2 linked regions of the Solanum lycopersicum genome follow. The protein of the gene in region 2 interacts with the protein of the main gene of each other region in a pairwise test. Links are inferred from orthologs where the notes say so. Each region holds a gene or a part of one and is shown on either strand. Other genes may lie near its edges.

Region 1 (7,587 bases), on a different chromosome or scaffold from region 2:
TTGTTTTGTGTTTTGGGGATTTTGGAACAGGAAAAACATCTTCGATTATGGTTATTCGAATGTAAAGAGCCAAGCCATGATGCATTTGTACTAGGTGTGGCTGCAGCATCTCTTCTTGCCATTGCTCATGTTCTTGCCAATCTTCTTGGTGGCTGCAGTGTTTGTGCTACTGATGACATTAAGCAAGCATCCCCAAGTAGAAAGCTATCAATGGCTTGTCTTGTTTTTACATGGTACCTCTTCAACTCATTCGTTTATCAAAGTATGTCACGTGGAAAGTTAAAACAAAAGTATTACCAAGGGGTCATTCTTTTACAAAAAAGAAAGGAGATAATTCTTTTTGAAACGGAGAGTTTTTTTTTTGTTATTTACTTTGGTTTTTCTTACTATGAAATGTTTGAGACCTTAGATCTAATTTTTCACAAGGTGAAAGAATATTATTCGAGATTATATATAAAAAGAACATTGAATGACTCATTTCTTCGACTAGACATGATCAAACATCATGCATGTGTTCAAGATTGGACATCTGAAACATAAACAACGTAATATTTAGGCCCAACATGAAATAAACCAAAGATATAATATGTGTTTGACTCTTGTATGTTTAAAGAAATGAACCGTAACTATTTAATCAAAAAAGCTAACTCATTAAAAATCGATAAAAACAAATAAGAAGATCATATATTTTGTTGGGTTTAATTTGTGGTTATTTTTTTTTCCCTACAGGATCATAATGGCAATAGGAATGGGACTACTGGTTATAGGGACAATGGCAAACAACAAATCAAGAGCTTCTTGTGGGTTTTCACATCACCATTTTTTCTCAATTGGTGGAATTTTGTGTTTCATCCATGCCATCTTTGCTGTTGCCTATTATTCTACTGCCTCAATGCTACTTGCCCTATAATCCAAATTATTTATTTTTTGTTTATTGGGGCTGTAATGTAATGAAGATGTTTTGGTACTATGATTGTGTTGTAGACAATATTATTGATAATCGCAACTAATTACAAGATATGTATCTTAAATCTAAGATCACACTTGATTGTATCAACAGAAAATATAATCATTTGCCCTGGCAACAGATTGATCATTTGCAAAGAATCAAACAACTGCTCCAAAAGCACGATAGCATACTTGGGGTGTGGGAAGAAATGCATTTTCTAGTGTTCGGTAAATAAACAAAAAAGATGATATGAGAACGAATGAAATGACACATATGGAACTTGATTCCCTAGTTCGATTAGAAAAATCCTTTTCCTCAGCTAATTTTCCGAGTGAAAAACTGAAAAACATTTTCCGCCATACGAATCACACCCTAGACTTGTAAAGAACATACAGGATTATGCTCTGCATGTATGAAAAAAGAGCGACAACATCAACCAGCACAATTGATGTTCCGCAACTGCAAGCAAATGGGAAATATGTTTCCAGGAAACATAAATCAGAGCTAAAATTGTTACGTAACATAGAGCTATGGTGCATAACGGAGCAATTTAGATATCTATTCTGAGTCTACCTCGAAAGGTATGAGAGAGAGAGCAATATACAATTGAATTAGGAGGGCTAACAGAGTGCAGGTAGTACATATAGAAGATAAAGTTAGATGGCTTCCTCCAGTGTTAAGACCTTCAAAATGCACTGTTTTATAGGTTTGACGAAATAATAATAAAGATTTTTAAGAGGTGAAATTGAGTCGCATGGAGAAATTTTTTTTCAAGCCCTAAAGTCTATTGAAATCAATGTAGACTTGGTTAAAAACAGAACAAAATGGAACCAAAAGATCTGTATGAGTGATGACTAGTAAGAAGATACCATAAAGAGATGAGTGGGAGATTTAGAACTATCTTAATTTGTCCTTTAAGACCTAATTATTCAGTATAGGGATTGCAATGGACCTGAACAAAACAAACGGATATTGAGAATTCATATAACTGACCTCAATTGTCATAGACTCGTAGGATTGACATATAGTTGATTGAATGATGATAAATCCAAGTGTGTATACACGCACACACATATACAAGGTGTATCTGTGTGTGCATTCATGCGCTGCAGAATATCTTCACTAGGAAAGAATAGAGAATCAGCAGTTAAAGGAAACACCTAATAAGCAGCGCCAGTAAGGAATTTCTCTATCATAATTCAAGTTCTTTAAGATATATAACTAGACTAGAAACCTCAAGGATTGAACAACTGTCTAGTCAGGAAACAACATTGCGCTCTATACCAAAGGAAAAATCTAGAGGAAAACGTAACTATCCCCCACTCGAATCAATTACATGAACAACCATTGAGAACAAAGTGAATCAACATTGCAAGGAGATAACAAGTAGGCCAAGGACAACACAAGCTACAACAACTTGAGAACAAAGTGAATCAACACAAGCTGCAAAAACTGAGAAAGATCGCATTTAAATATATTTCCATCTAGAATAGGAAATGACATATTACAAAAGATGAACCAGACATTCCACTTCAGCTGTTCCTAAGCTTGCTTCCATCATACATTATATGATAGGAATGTGTAGGCATTTCATTGCAACTCCACAATAGAGCCAATCACTCCATACCACACCAACATATATAAGAAGCAACACAGCCGATATCATAAACACCAGTTCACTAGTAAAACTAAATAAGCAAGTAAATGTATGAAACAACCTGAAAAACTAATTCTACTTCACGGGCTAAACACAAGTTCATCAAATTGTAGCATTGAATAGAACAGGATCCATCAGCATCTAGTTACCTCTCATTGCATCAACCACCAATCTGTAATGCTCCGCAATGAAATCGAGGCGCTTCACCATCAAGTCAGCTTCATCATCCTCCAGAATCTTCCACTTCTCCTCCAACACTTTAGCCTTGTCGGTAGCAATCAAACTCATCTTCTCCTTCAACAAACTTGTTCCATTAGGATACATTTTAGACAAGCCAGACATAGCTTCAAGTGATGCAGCCAAACGTGGATACTTGGACTGGAAATCCAGTTGATCACCCTTAACTATATCCTCCTTAACCACCTCTTTTACGGCAATCTGTTTCTCTTCTTCCTTCTGTTTCTCATCATCCTTTGGTTTGCTAACTTTAGCACTTCTCTTAGGCTCAGAAATCTTTCTAACCTCAACACTCTTTTTAGCTTTGCCATTTGAGCTATTGTTAACATTATCCTTAACCCCTCCATTAATAGCTCCTGGAGCGCCCCAAATTCTCTTCGAGTGCTCAAAAACCAGAAAATCCTGACTCTTCGTGAAAACTGGTTCTTCACCATCTTTCACATTAGTCAAAAATTTCTTCCTTAGCCTCCTTACCTTGTCACTAATTTGACTCTTGGAAACTTCAGCCTGCAACTTTCCCCTGATGAATTCATGGAAAGCAGACATGTCGGCACTAGGTTCCATACCTTTTACCGTCTTGTATTCAAGAATCCCTTTGAGTAGAGCAAGCTGGTCATCATCGCTCCAAAGACTCCGGGGAGTAGCAGCAGACTTTTTCTCCTCTTCTTCTGCAACCTTTGGCTTCTTCCTCCCTTTCTCTTTCTGCGCCTCTTGTGGTCTCTTTGGTGTTGCTTTCGATGAGGCAGCAGCTTTAGCAGCAACATTCGGCTTAACGGTGAAAGCCGATGCAGAAGGTGAAGGCAGAGAACTACCCGATTCCGCTTCCGAATCGGATCCTGACCCATTTTCGCTTCCAGAAGAAAATTGGGGCTTCTGTGGTGTCTGAACTAGTTTTTGAGAAATGGGTCTCTTTACAACGGGATGAGATGTCTTGGGTTCTTCATCTTCTTCAGTTTCTTCCCCTGATTCTTCTTCTCCTTCTTCCTCCCTCGATTGTTGTTCTTCTTCTTCCTGGGATTCCTCCACCAATTCTTGTTCTTCAGAGGATGATGCAGAAGGAGGCTGGTCTACTAAGCGGGATTTGGTTTTGGGGGCCATTGTTTGTGAAAGCAAGAAGAGAGAGCTATTCGGCCGTCAACTGTGTGTATGGGTGAGTGTTGAAGCAGAGTCAAAAAGATGAAAGCTTTGTGTAGGGTTTTTCTCAATTTATACAAAAAGCCAATGTATTAATCGATTGCCGCGCCCTTCTACGATTGGATAATCACTTTCCCCATTTAGACGTGTATTCCAAGTGAAATTTATGAATAACACCAATACAACTACTCACATATGGAATGGGATTTGTGATGAAAGTGATAAGGAATTTGATATAAATTTCAAATTAAAAAGGGATCCATTATATAAAGATCAGTTTAAACCTTACAAAAATCTCAATCATCTTTTGAGTTCAGGAGCGAAAATGAGTTAGGATCTGAATAAGGTTATTCCCTGTCTTCCCCTTCTGCATCGGTTCAACAAAAGTTGTTGCCCCATTAAAATCAACTTAAGGCCGCAAAAGACCTAGAAAGGGAGGAAGGAAACCAAAATTAGGATAAAAAAAATCAACTCCTCCTCCTCGTAAGCCGAATGTTGCTGCTAAAGCTGCTGCCCTATCGAAATCAGCAACAGAGAGACCGCAAGAGGCACAGAAAGAGAAAGGTAGGAAAATGCCCAAAGTTGCAGAAGAAGAGGAGAAAAAGTCTGCTGCTACTTCCCGGAGTCTTTGGAGCGATGATGACCAGCTTGCTCTACTCAAAGGGATTCTTGAATACAAGACGGTAAAAGGTATGGAACCTAGTGCCGACATGTCTGCTTTCCATGAATTCATCAAGGGGAAGTTGCAGGCTGAAGTTTCCAAGAGTCAAATTAGTGACAAGGTAAGGAGGCTAAAGAAGAAAATTTTGACTAATGTGAAAGATGGTGAAGAGCCAGTTTTCACGAAGAGTCAGGATTTTCTGGTTTTGAGCACTCGAAGAGAACTGGGGCGCTCCAGGATCTAGTAATGGAGGGGTTAAGGATAATGTTAACAATAGCTCAAATGGCAAAGCTAAAAAGAGTGTTGAGGTTAGAAAGAGTTCTGAATCTAAAAAATGGTGAGGAACTCGAGACAACCCCTCAAATTGAAAAGAGACCAAATACTAAAAAAAACAGGTCAAACCCACATAAATCTCAATCTTCTTTTGATTTCAAAAGTGAAGACGAGTCAGAATTCAAATCCGAAATGAAATCAGGTCATTCCTGCCTTTCTCTTCTCCATCAGCCTTCACAATTAAGCCAGTTGTTTCTATAAAAGTTGATTTCCCATCTAAATCAGCAACAAAGAGGCCATAAAAGACCTAGAAAGAGAAAGGGAGGAGGAAGTCCAAGATTGCAGAAGAAAATGAATCAATAAATAGAAAAAATTATAAAATTACTTACCATGTTCTTAGATTACGTATATTTTGAATATTAATGTCTACTCCTTCATTTTTTTGGTCATTTATGTATCAATTGAATGAGATTTTTAATTTTTATTGTTCGAATATTGAAGTGATGATATTATCTTGTCAGGCTAAGAAAATTCGACTCACTAAATTATGGTCATACATAATTCAAGCTAACCCTAGCTAATGTTAAAGGGGGTGGGGATGGGGCCAGGGAAAGTACATCTGACTTAGCCTTTTGCCTTGATTAGTGTAGTTAACGGGCTAAATGAGCCCAAATCAAGTTAAAGGATGGATTTCATGTTCTTTAACGGGCTAAATGGGCTAGATCAAATTATAGGATGAATTTTCATGTTCTTTTAATGGAAAATTACATGGGATGACAAACATCCTTAAGTAATTAGTTAAGGGTATAATTTAATTTATTTACTCTACCTATTTGTATACGGAATAAAAATAGTCATTCAAAGATTTTCTACATAATTTTATACAAAATCAACTTTATCTCTCATATTCTCATTCCATATATTTCTCCTAAAATCACTCTTCCCTTCTAATTTGAATTTCGAATTGGGAAAATTTTGACTTTTTCCCTTGATTGTTCTTCCACTTTTCGCAGGTAATCACTAAATTCGTTGGCTTTTAATATTTTTTCTTGATGTATTATGTTTGTTAGTTCTTTCATATATATTTGTTTTAAATATTTTTTACTAATCAGATTACAAGTCTGTCAAAAAAATCGGAATGAATGGTTCCTCTCCATCTATGAGGACTACGAGAGGTATGTCATTGCATGTCAATGTTGTTGATAACCCACCTTCATTTCGATTGGGTTAACTCGTGATTTTGGGGCCAATGTAGGGTCTATGACAAAACATAAACAAGTTCAAGTTGAACAATCTATTGAAGAATGAGATCCAAGAAAGAAAATGACCAAATGACAATTCATAAAGTCATCAACAACGCGAAATTTAGCGGCATTAAGATTGTTGAAGGTGGAAGTAAGAGAAAAGCCATAAACATTGATTCAGAAGAGATTGAATCTGCCTCATCAGAACTAGACAAATCTGAAGAATATCGATAACATTAGGTTGTATAATTTATACACAAATTACATAACTAGTGGATTGTATATTAAGTGTATATATACAAAGTATTATGAGATAGTCCTTATTTGTATATTCTATTAGTTGTATATCAATTACCAAAGTTATGTATATAGTGAGTCATATATTAAGGTAACATATACAAAGTCTTATGAGGGGCATTAGATATTTGTATACAAATAATGTTTAGTTTTGTATAAAAGAAATTTTGTTAAAATCACTCTATAATACATATACAAAATTATAGTACATTATACAAATTTCTCAATAAATACAAATAATTATGAACATAATAAAATACAATCAGTTTAATCATTAATTTTTTTGGCAAAATTATTCATTACCCCCTGAACTTGAAACTTTTTATTCAGTGTACACCTAAACTTTATTTTGTTTTAATTACCCCCTGAACTTGCTTTTTCATCCAACACGTACACCTTTTCTGACTGATCACTACGATCGTGTCTACACGCGCACGACACCTAGATAAATACTTTGCCACCTAGATAAATATTTTATCACCTAGATAATTAAAACTTCGGGACCAACCTTCACAATTCACATCGATTAAAACTTCTCAAAGAAGCTTCTTCGTTTTGCTCTAAACCTCTTTGCTTTTCTCTAAACCTCCCACGAGTAGATTTGACAAGTGTAATCGACAAAGTAACGAGTAGATTTTTGCCAGTTGCAGTTCTGGAGTAAAGACTTGCTAGATTTCGTGAAGTGTTTGGTCGATTGGTGTCGATTGGTTCTTTGGATCTTGTCTGAAATTGTTAACAAGTAAGTGATTATCCACTCGATTTCGTGAAGGCTTGATGTATTGTTGTATGTTTAATTTACTTTTCATTCATATTTTGCCCTATTTTTTGTTTGAGATTTCGCCATAGTTTCCGATTGAGTTTCCGATTAGGGGTCTAATAGTTTTCAACTAGAATTTTCACTTAATGAATGTATTATTATGAAGTTTTTTTTACCTTATTCATGCATAAGCATTAAGGTTTCTGATAATCAGTTTAAAATTAAGGCTTTTTGGTAAAATTAAGGTTTTAAGTGCTAGGGTTTCTGGTATTGTTAAATGGTAAGGTATTTTGTAATTTGTTTAAGTATATTGTGTGGGATGCCTATTGTATGTTGATGAGTAATATGTCTACTATACTAAGTACCAATTGTTGCTTC
Region 2 (6,318 bases):
GAGAGAAGAAGACTTGAAAGTAAAGCTAACCGGATGAAATAAAAAAGATTGTAGTACTCATTTCTCTGGATGTTCCGGAAAAAATAATCTTGTTCAGTTTTCAGTCTGGCAAGAAGATCAAAGTAATGCATGTTGCCCGTGCCTACAGCATGCCTCTCAAACTCCACATAATCAATCTGATTGCATAATGAATAAGGTCAGTCTTTTCAAGAATGAAGATGATACTCACAAGATTTTGAGCTTTACAGCAACGTGAATATACCCCCTTATGCAGTATAAATAAGAAGGATAGAGGAGTCCATCTTCAGCCTGCAGTGAGGTCTCCACCACATATTGACTGCTACGGAACTTCCCTGGTCTAGTGACTTTGGAACCAGACAAGCCGCTTAAAATTTGAGTAAATATGTCATGGATAAGAACCTGGTTCATAATTTAAATTAGAGAAGTAAACAACACCAAACACGTCAACACAATGAGCTTGCACTGCTTTTTTCACAGTTGATGCAAATCCGAATGACTATAAACACAAGAAAAAATTAAAAAATCTAATTACCTAGTAACTCGTTAGCCCCCACTCCTTGTATTTCGTATTTAAAAGATCTTGGCTTAAAGCCAGCGAAAGGTCTACCACACTGTAAGTCTCAAACTGGTAATATAAAAGAGCAGGTGATACCAAAAATAGAATGTACGTCATTATACCATATGCATCAATCAATACCTGCAAATACAATGTACGCATATACAAAGTTTGGCGCTTCATGATCGGAGGATCAAGAGGGACAGACAACTACTGAAGTGTGTGGTTGATTAGTCTGCAAAAGCAGAGAAGTCGGTTTGAATTATACAATTGCTTAAAAGTTCAATGAAGACGATTGTAGGCATGACTAAAACATTGATAAAGATGCTAAACGGGGAACAGCCTTGGGCAACAAAAAACACGGACTAGGCTGTTGTACTGAATTTTAAAGTCATTGGCTTGCCCATGCAAGTGCAAGAATGAGAGATGAAGCTCAACATTGTAATATCCTACAGCATATGGGCGGGCACATTGCCAGTCACTCTGAAGCAAAAAAATAGATAACAACATGGAAAGCGCTTAGCCAGCCTTGGAGTAAGTATTGCAATTCCGTCAAACCAACAGCTTCCTGACCAGTCAATTGGCATGATTTTTTCACGAAGAAACTAGAAGTTACAATCACATTACTCAATTTTCACAAAGACAAGTTATCGGAGAGTCCAGAAGCAGATGAATAAGCCCGACCCTATCAATGTTACCCTTGCATTCGCTAAGCAAACTGGACAGTACGTTAACTAATTTTATCCCCAGGTCCCTCTCCATCTCTTTTTTTGTCATTTATTTTTTTCCATGCAAAGATATTTTTACAATTTATATACTCCCTCTAAATAAACCGTTTTAGGGAAATTTTTGTCATTTTAATCGAGAAGGGTCCAATTATCAATTAACTTAATACCAATTTCAACTATTTATTTAATTTTTTTTTAGAAAAAGAGCCTTCTTAACGAGCTAGTACCAAGCACAATCGTAAACTGTTTATATTTCGACAGGTAATTTCTTACGTGAAGAACGTGATCACCCAAAGACACTGCATTCACAACATTGTTTGTAATGATCAGAGACGTGGTAGACCACGTTGAACAACGGCAATGAAAACAGAATTTCTACATTTGGTTGATAGAATTTTCGGGCAGATCATGTGCCAATGTGGAGTTGTTATGACGGGCTTGATGATGCTGTAGAGGGATCCGCTGTTGTTACCGTATCGCATAGCTATTCCACTGACCATAACCAAGTGGTGCATTTTGGTGCAAGTTAAATTGCTTACATTGATTAAAAAAAAGGCAAATTACAATCGCTTCTAATCATTTTGGGAAGAGATTGACGTCTAAGTCCGACATTTTTCACATTCAGCTACCAGGTGTTGCAACAAATTATTGGATGTGGTAATCACAGATCTGCAATTTCATTGGCTATTTTATCAATTGAAAAAAACTGAAACAGGAACATATAAACCTCAAATTCTAGAGACATCTCTAATAAAAAGCTCAGCAAATTATAAAATTACCTTTTCATATCCGGGAAACCAAGTTAAAGGAGAATTTACGTAGCTCCTAGATTATGCTAACACATCATAGAGGAATGTCTAGAGTACTCCAGAATATCACGAACAATTATATTTCATTAAGATGTTGATTAGAAGTGCCTCACGAAACCTATATTCTCAACTTCCCCCAAAACTTGAGCTTCACATAAAACATTAGCAGCAAGACCTCCAACTATGAACCACAATTGCTGATTAGGCACGTCAACCTTCTAAGTTCCCACACTCGATTAAACGATTTTGCACTTAATTACTCCCAGATTCATTCCCTGAATCCACGACAGTTGGCTGAGGGTTCTTGTAATCACTGATCTGTTCACTGTACCGTTTCTTATCTGCCTTGGCCATGGCCTCAAAGGGTTCTTTCTCCTCAGCTGAGAAACCATTAACACAGCAAGTGAGCCAATTATATAATTGAAGAAAATGAAAACACAAAACAGACAGCAGCAAACATGAGCATCAAATCAACCGCCCTTGATAATAAAATAATGAAGCAAATAAGATACCAGAATGCCACAAAAATAACCAACCTGACAGCTTATTCCATCTCTCTCCAAGAACCCTCCCTACTTCAGTGAAAGCAATTCCAGGATTACTTTTCTTCACATTCTACAGTAAACGGAAGGGAAGTGAATGGAATGTTACAACCATGATGAGTCTTGAAATGTACCTCAAAGCAAGAAAACACACCAACTCACAAAAGAAGCAGGCTAATACGGTAACAGCAGGTGGGTGTAATTTCCAACAAACCAGAAAAATTATAATAAACTTTTGTTAAACATATACGTCTTGGGCCTAACTGACACCATCATAAGAGCCTCCCATCTCATTAATCACCAATTTAGTCCCTATTTTTTCTTCCACCTCCGAGCACTCTACTCTGTAAGGCCACTAAGTCTCTCAGGCAACCCTGCACTAGGAATAAGCCCTTTACACTAGTAGAACAGAAGGCTGTCTAGACATGTCATTGTCCTCGAGGAAATGAATCTACCACCCAGAATGCCTCTAATTGGATGAAATGCCCATGAAAGGTACCAGTTCAAGGAACTCAATTATTTCAGGATTTATATCATAAATAAAGGGATTCTAATATGGGATTATGGACTCCTTCATTAAAGGAAATGGGATTATGGGCCTCTCCTCCATTAAAAAAAATGGGATTATGGACCCTGGCACTTTTAAGTCTGCTACGGATTTATCAACTTGATGATGGACTAAATTTTGTAGTAGTTAATACGATCATGCATGGATCAGTTGTTTTGAGTAGCCCAGGCTCTAAATACATTCGTGTAAGAAAAGCTAAGACTTAGATACACTGCATTGGGTGCCTATTTTTATTCATCTTATGGGGAATGAAGACTTGTTTCCTTCAAAATGAACATTATATGTTTCAATAATTCTCAGAACAAAAAACCTGGCATACAGACCACAGAACGCGGGAGAAGTCATTGGTTTTCTAAGAAAGAAATCATGTAACAGAGCACCTACCTCCCTTTCACTCTGCGAGAAGTACATGAAAGCACTAATTGCCCTCTTCGGAGCATTTGGATCCTTCTTCTTTTTCTGTTTTTTCTTCTTCGATCCATCATCATCTGCCTTTTTCCTGCTTGTAGATGGCTTTGACACAGTACCCTCCTTTTTAGGCTTCTTCTTTGCAGGTTTCTGAATCCAGCATACATGAATGTCAGCTCATATTTTTCCAATTTGTAAATAAGAACTTGAAAATATATAAACGTGAAAGGGCAATTATACCTCCTCCTCACCACCACTACCACTGGCATCAGACTCATCCCCTCCAGAATCATCAGTAGGAGACCCTCCATCATCCTTATCGATGACAAAATCTTCGTCCTGGAAAGGTTATGAATGTCAGACAGCATTTCAAGAATTTCCAACAACACAAAGGGCAAGTAAAGATGCTAGAATCCAACAAGATACTCTGACAATGACTTAGAGAGACATCCATGGAGTTGAAGATGATGAAATGACAAATAGGCATGTTTACCTCTTCATCACTGTCATCCCCGCCCGCTTCATTCTTAATACGCTCAAGATGTGGATCAACAGCATCATCGTCATCATCGGGCAAAACAGGAACACCTTCTGTAGCCCGAGCTTCATTAAGGTTCATTATTTTCAAACCCTTTCCACTGCATTACTCAATGATTGTGTCAGGAAGACTAAGCAGACTTGTTAAACCGAAATTGAGCGAGAAGAAGACTTGAAAGTAAAGCTAACCTGATGAAATCAAAAAGATTGTGGTACTCATTTCTCTGGATATTCCGGAAAAGATGTTCTTGTTCAGTTTTCAGTCTGATGAGAAGATCAAAGTAATGCATGTTGGCCGTGCCCGCAGCGTGCCTCTCAAATTCCACATAATCAATCTAATTGCATCATACAATAGGTCAGTTTTTCAAGAATGAAGATGTATCTCACAAGATTTTGAGCTTTACAAAAACTTGAATTTACCTCTTCATGCAGTATAAGTGTTGGAGGTTTAGGTAAAAAGAAGAAGCTTTTCTCAAGAGGATAGAGGAGTCCATCTTCAGCCTTCAATGAGGACTTCACCGCATACCCATCTTGACTACTACGGAACTTCCCTGGTTTAGTAACTTTGGAACCAGACAAGCCGCGTAAAATTTGAGTAAAGATATCATGAATAAGACCCTGGTTCACAAGTAAAATTATTATTAAATGCTAATAAGTAAAATTATTATTAAATGCTAAAAATTAACAGCACCAAACACGTGAATACAATGAACTTGCATTTCTTTTCTTTTTTTGACAAACAATGAACTTGCATTTCTATTTTCACAGTTGATGCAAATCCAAATGACTATAAACACAAAAAAAATATTACTTTGTAACCCATTAGCAGCCTCTCCTTGTATTTTGTATTTAGAAGGTCTTCGCTTAAAGCCAGCGAAAGGTCTACCACATTGTCCGTCTCAAACTGGTAAGACAAAGAAGCAGCAGGTTAATACCAGAACAGAATGTACGTCATTATTTAATATGTGCATCAATCAATACCTGCAATACAATGTGCGGATACAAAGTTTGGCCCTTCCTAATTGGAGGATCAAGAGTGATAACTACCAAAGTGTGTGGTTGGTTATGCTGCAAAGCAGAGAAGTCATTTCAATTATACAATGCTTAAAAGTTCAATGAAGACAATTTCAGAAAGCTCCATGAAGGAATTAAAAGGGGTAGGCATAACTAAAACATTGAACATAGAAATAACCTTCGGCAACAAAAAAATACGGACTACGCTGCTGTACTGAATTTTAAAGTCATTGGCTTGCCCTTGCAAGCGCAAGAATGAGAGATGAAGCTCCACATTATAACGACCCCTGCAGCATATGGACACATATCAATCACTCTGAAGCAAAAAACAGATAACAATGATACTGAACATGAAAAACAGTTAACCAACCTTGGAGTAAGTATGGCAATACCGTCAAATGTGACAACAGCTTCCTCACCTCCGGCACCAACATCAGCCATTGACATAATTTTATCACGAAAAACCTAATATGTACAAATCATATTACTCAGTTATTACCAAGAGAAGTTATCGTGTCAAAGAAGGGATTAATGATATCTCCACTAATGAATTCAAGAAATTGAATTGATACGCCTTTTGCTTACTTGAGCAGGAGGTCGGTTTTCATCACCAACAAATTGAGTGTTTGAATTAGGGATATGAAAGCTGATTTCCATCAGTGAGTCTTTCTGAAATCAATGAAAGTGGCTTACTGAGAATAGAGTGGCTTTCAAGAATTAGTCAAGAAGTGTCATTCATGTAAAAATGATTGTAATGCCAGCAAATCAGTAACACGTCAATGTCAAATGAAAAAAAAAACTCATCAGCAATCATTGAGGACAATAAGTAACCTCATTAGCCCCAGTTGTATCATCTACATGGAACTCCAACATGACATCATTTTTTCCTTGAAGCTGTGTTTGAGAAACGTCTGCCAGTGATATCTCAAATGCTTGTTTATTACCAACAAGAAAAGCGAGCATATTTGCTGCAGAAGGTGGAGCAGAGTCAAAACATGTATGTGTGCACATTCCAAATAAAATAGATGTTTCAAGAGAAGATCATGTTCACATGTGTATACCAAAAGAAGAAAAAGCAAGAGAATATCAAACAAAGAAAGAAGTATAAGGTGAGAACAAATAAATTGCATTATCG

What was found.
Region 1: the proteins of FACT complex subunit SSRP1 (region 2) and STOREKEEPER protein interact in binary tests that used the Arabidopsis thaliana proteins (3 or more experiments, as listed by UniProt). The link is inferred for Solanum lycopersicum from reciprocal best matches to the Arabidopsis thaliana genes HMG and AT4G00390.

Annotation. Positions count from the first base shown.
Region 1 is NC_090806.1:63,816,166-63,823,752, reverse strand, and holds STOREKEEPER protein, read right to left. Parts: upstream 4,538-7,587; 5' UTR 3,942-4,537; coding exon 2,748-3,941; 3' UTR 2,394-2,747; downstream 1-2,393. Other genes in the region: protein VASCULATURE COMPLEXITY AND CONNECTIVITY-like, read left to right, coding at 31-233, 730-910; STOREKEEPER protein-like, read left to right, coding at 4,550-4,882.
Region 2 is NC_090801.1:66,347,293-66,353,610, forward strand, and holds the end of FACT complex subunit SSRP1, read right to left. Parts: intron 6,152-6,318; coding exon 6,015-6,151; intron 5,853-6,014; coding exon 5,769-5,852; intron 5,649-5,768; coding exon 5,554-5,648; intron 5,471-5,553; coding exon 5,362-5,470; intron 5,238-5,361; coding exon 5,151-5,237; intron 5,074-5,150; coding exon 4,981-5,073; intron 4,788-4,980; coding exon 4,590-4,787; intron 4,505-4,589; coding exon 4,359-4,504; intron 4,271-4,358; coding exon 4,126-4,270; intron 3,972-4,125; coding exon 3,873-3,971; intron 3,783-3,872; coding exon 3,609-3,782; intron 2,730-3,608; coding exon 2,651-2,729; intron 2,495-2,650; coding exon 2,367-2,494; 3' UTR 2,054-2,366; downstream 1-2,053. UniProt on the Arabidopsis thaliana protein: Component of the FACT complex, a general chromatin factor that acts to reorganize nucleosomes. The FACT complex is involved in multiple processes that require DNA as a template such as mRNA elongation, DNA replication and DNA repair.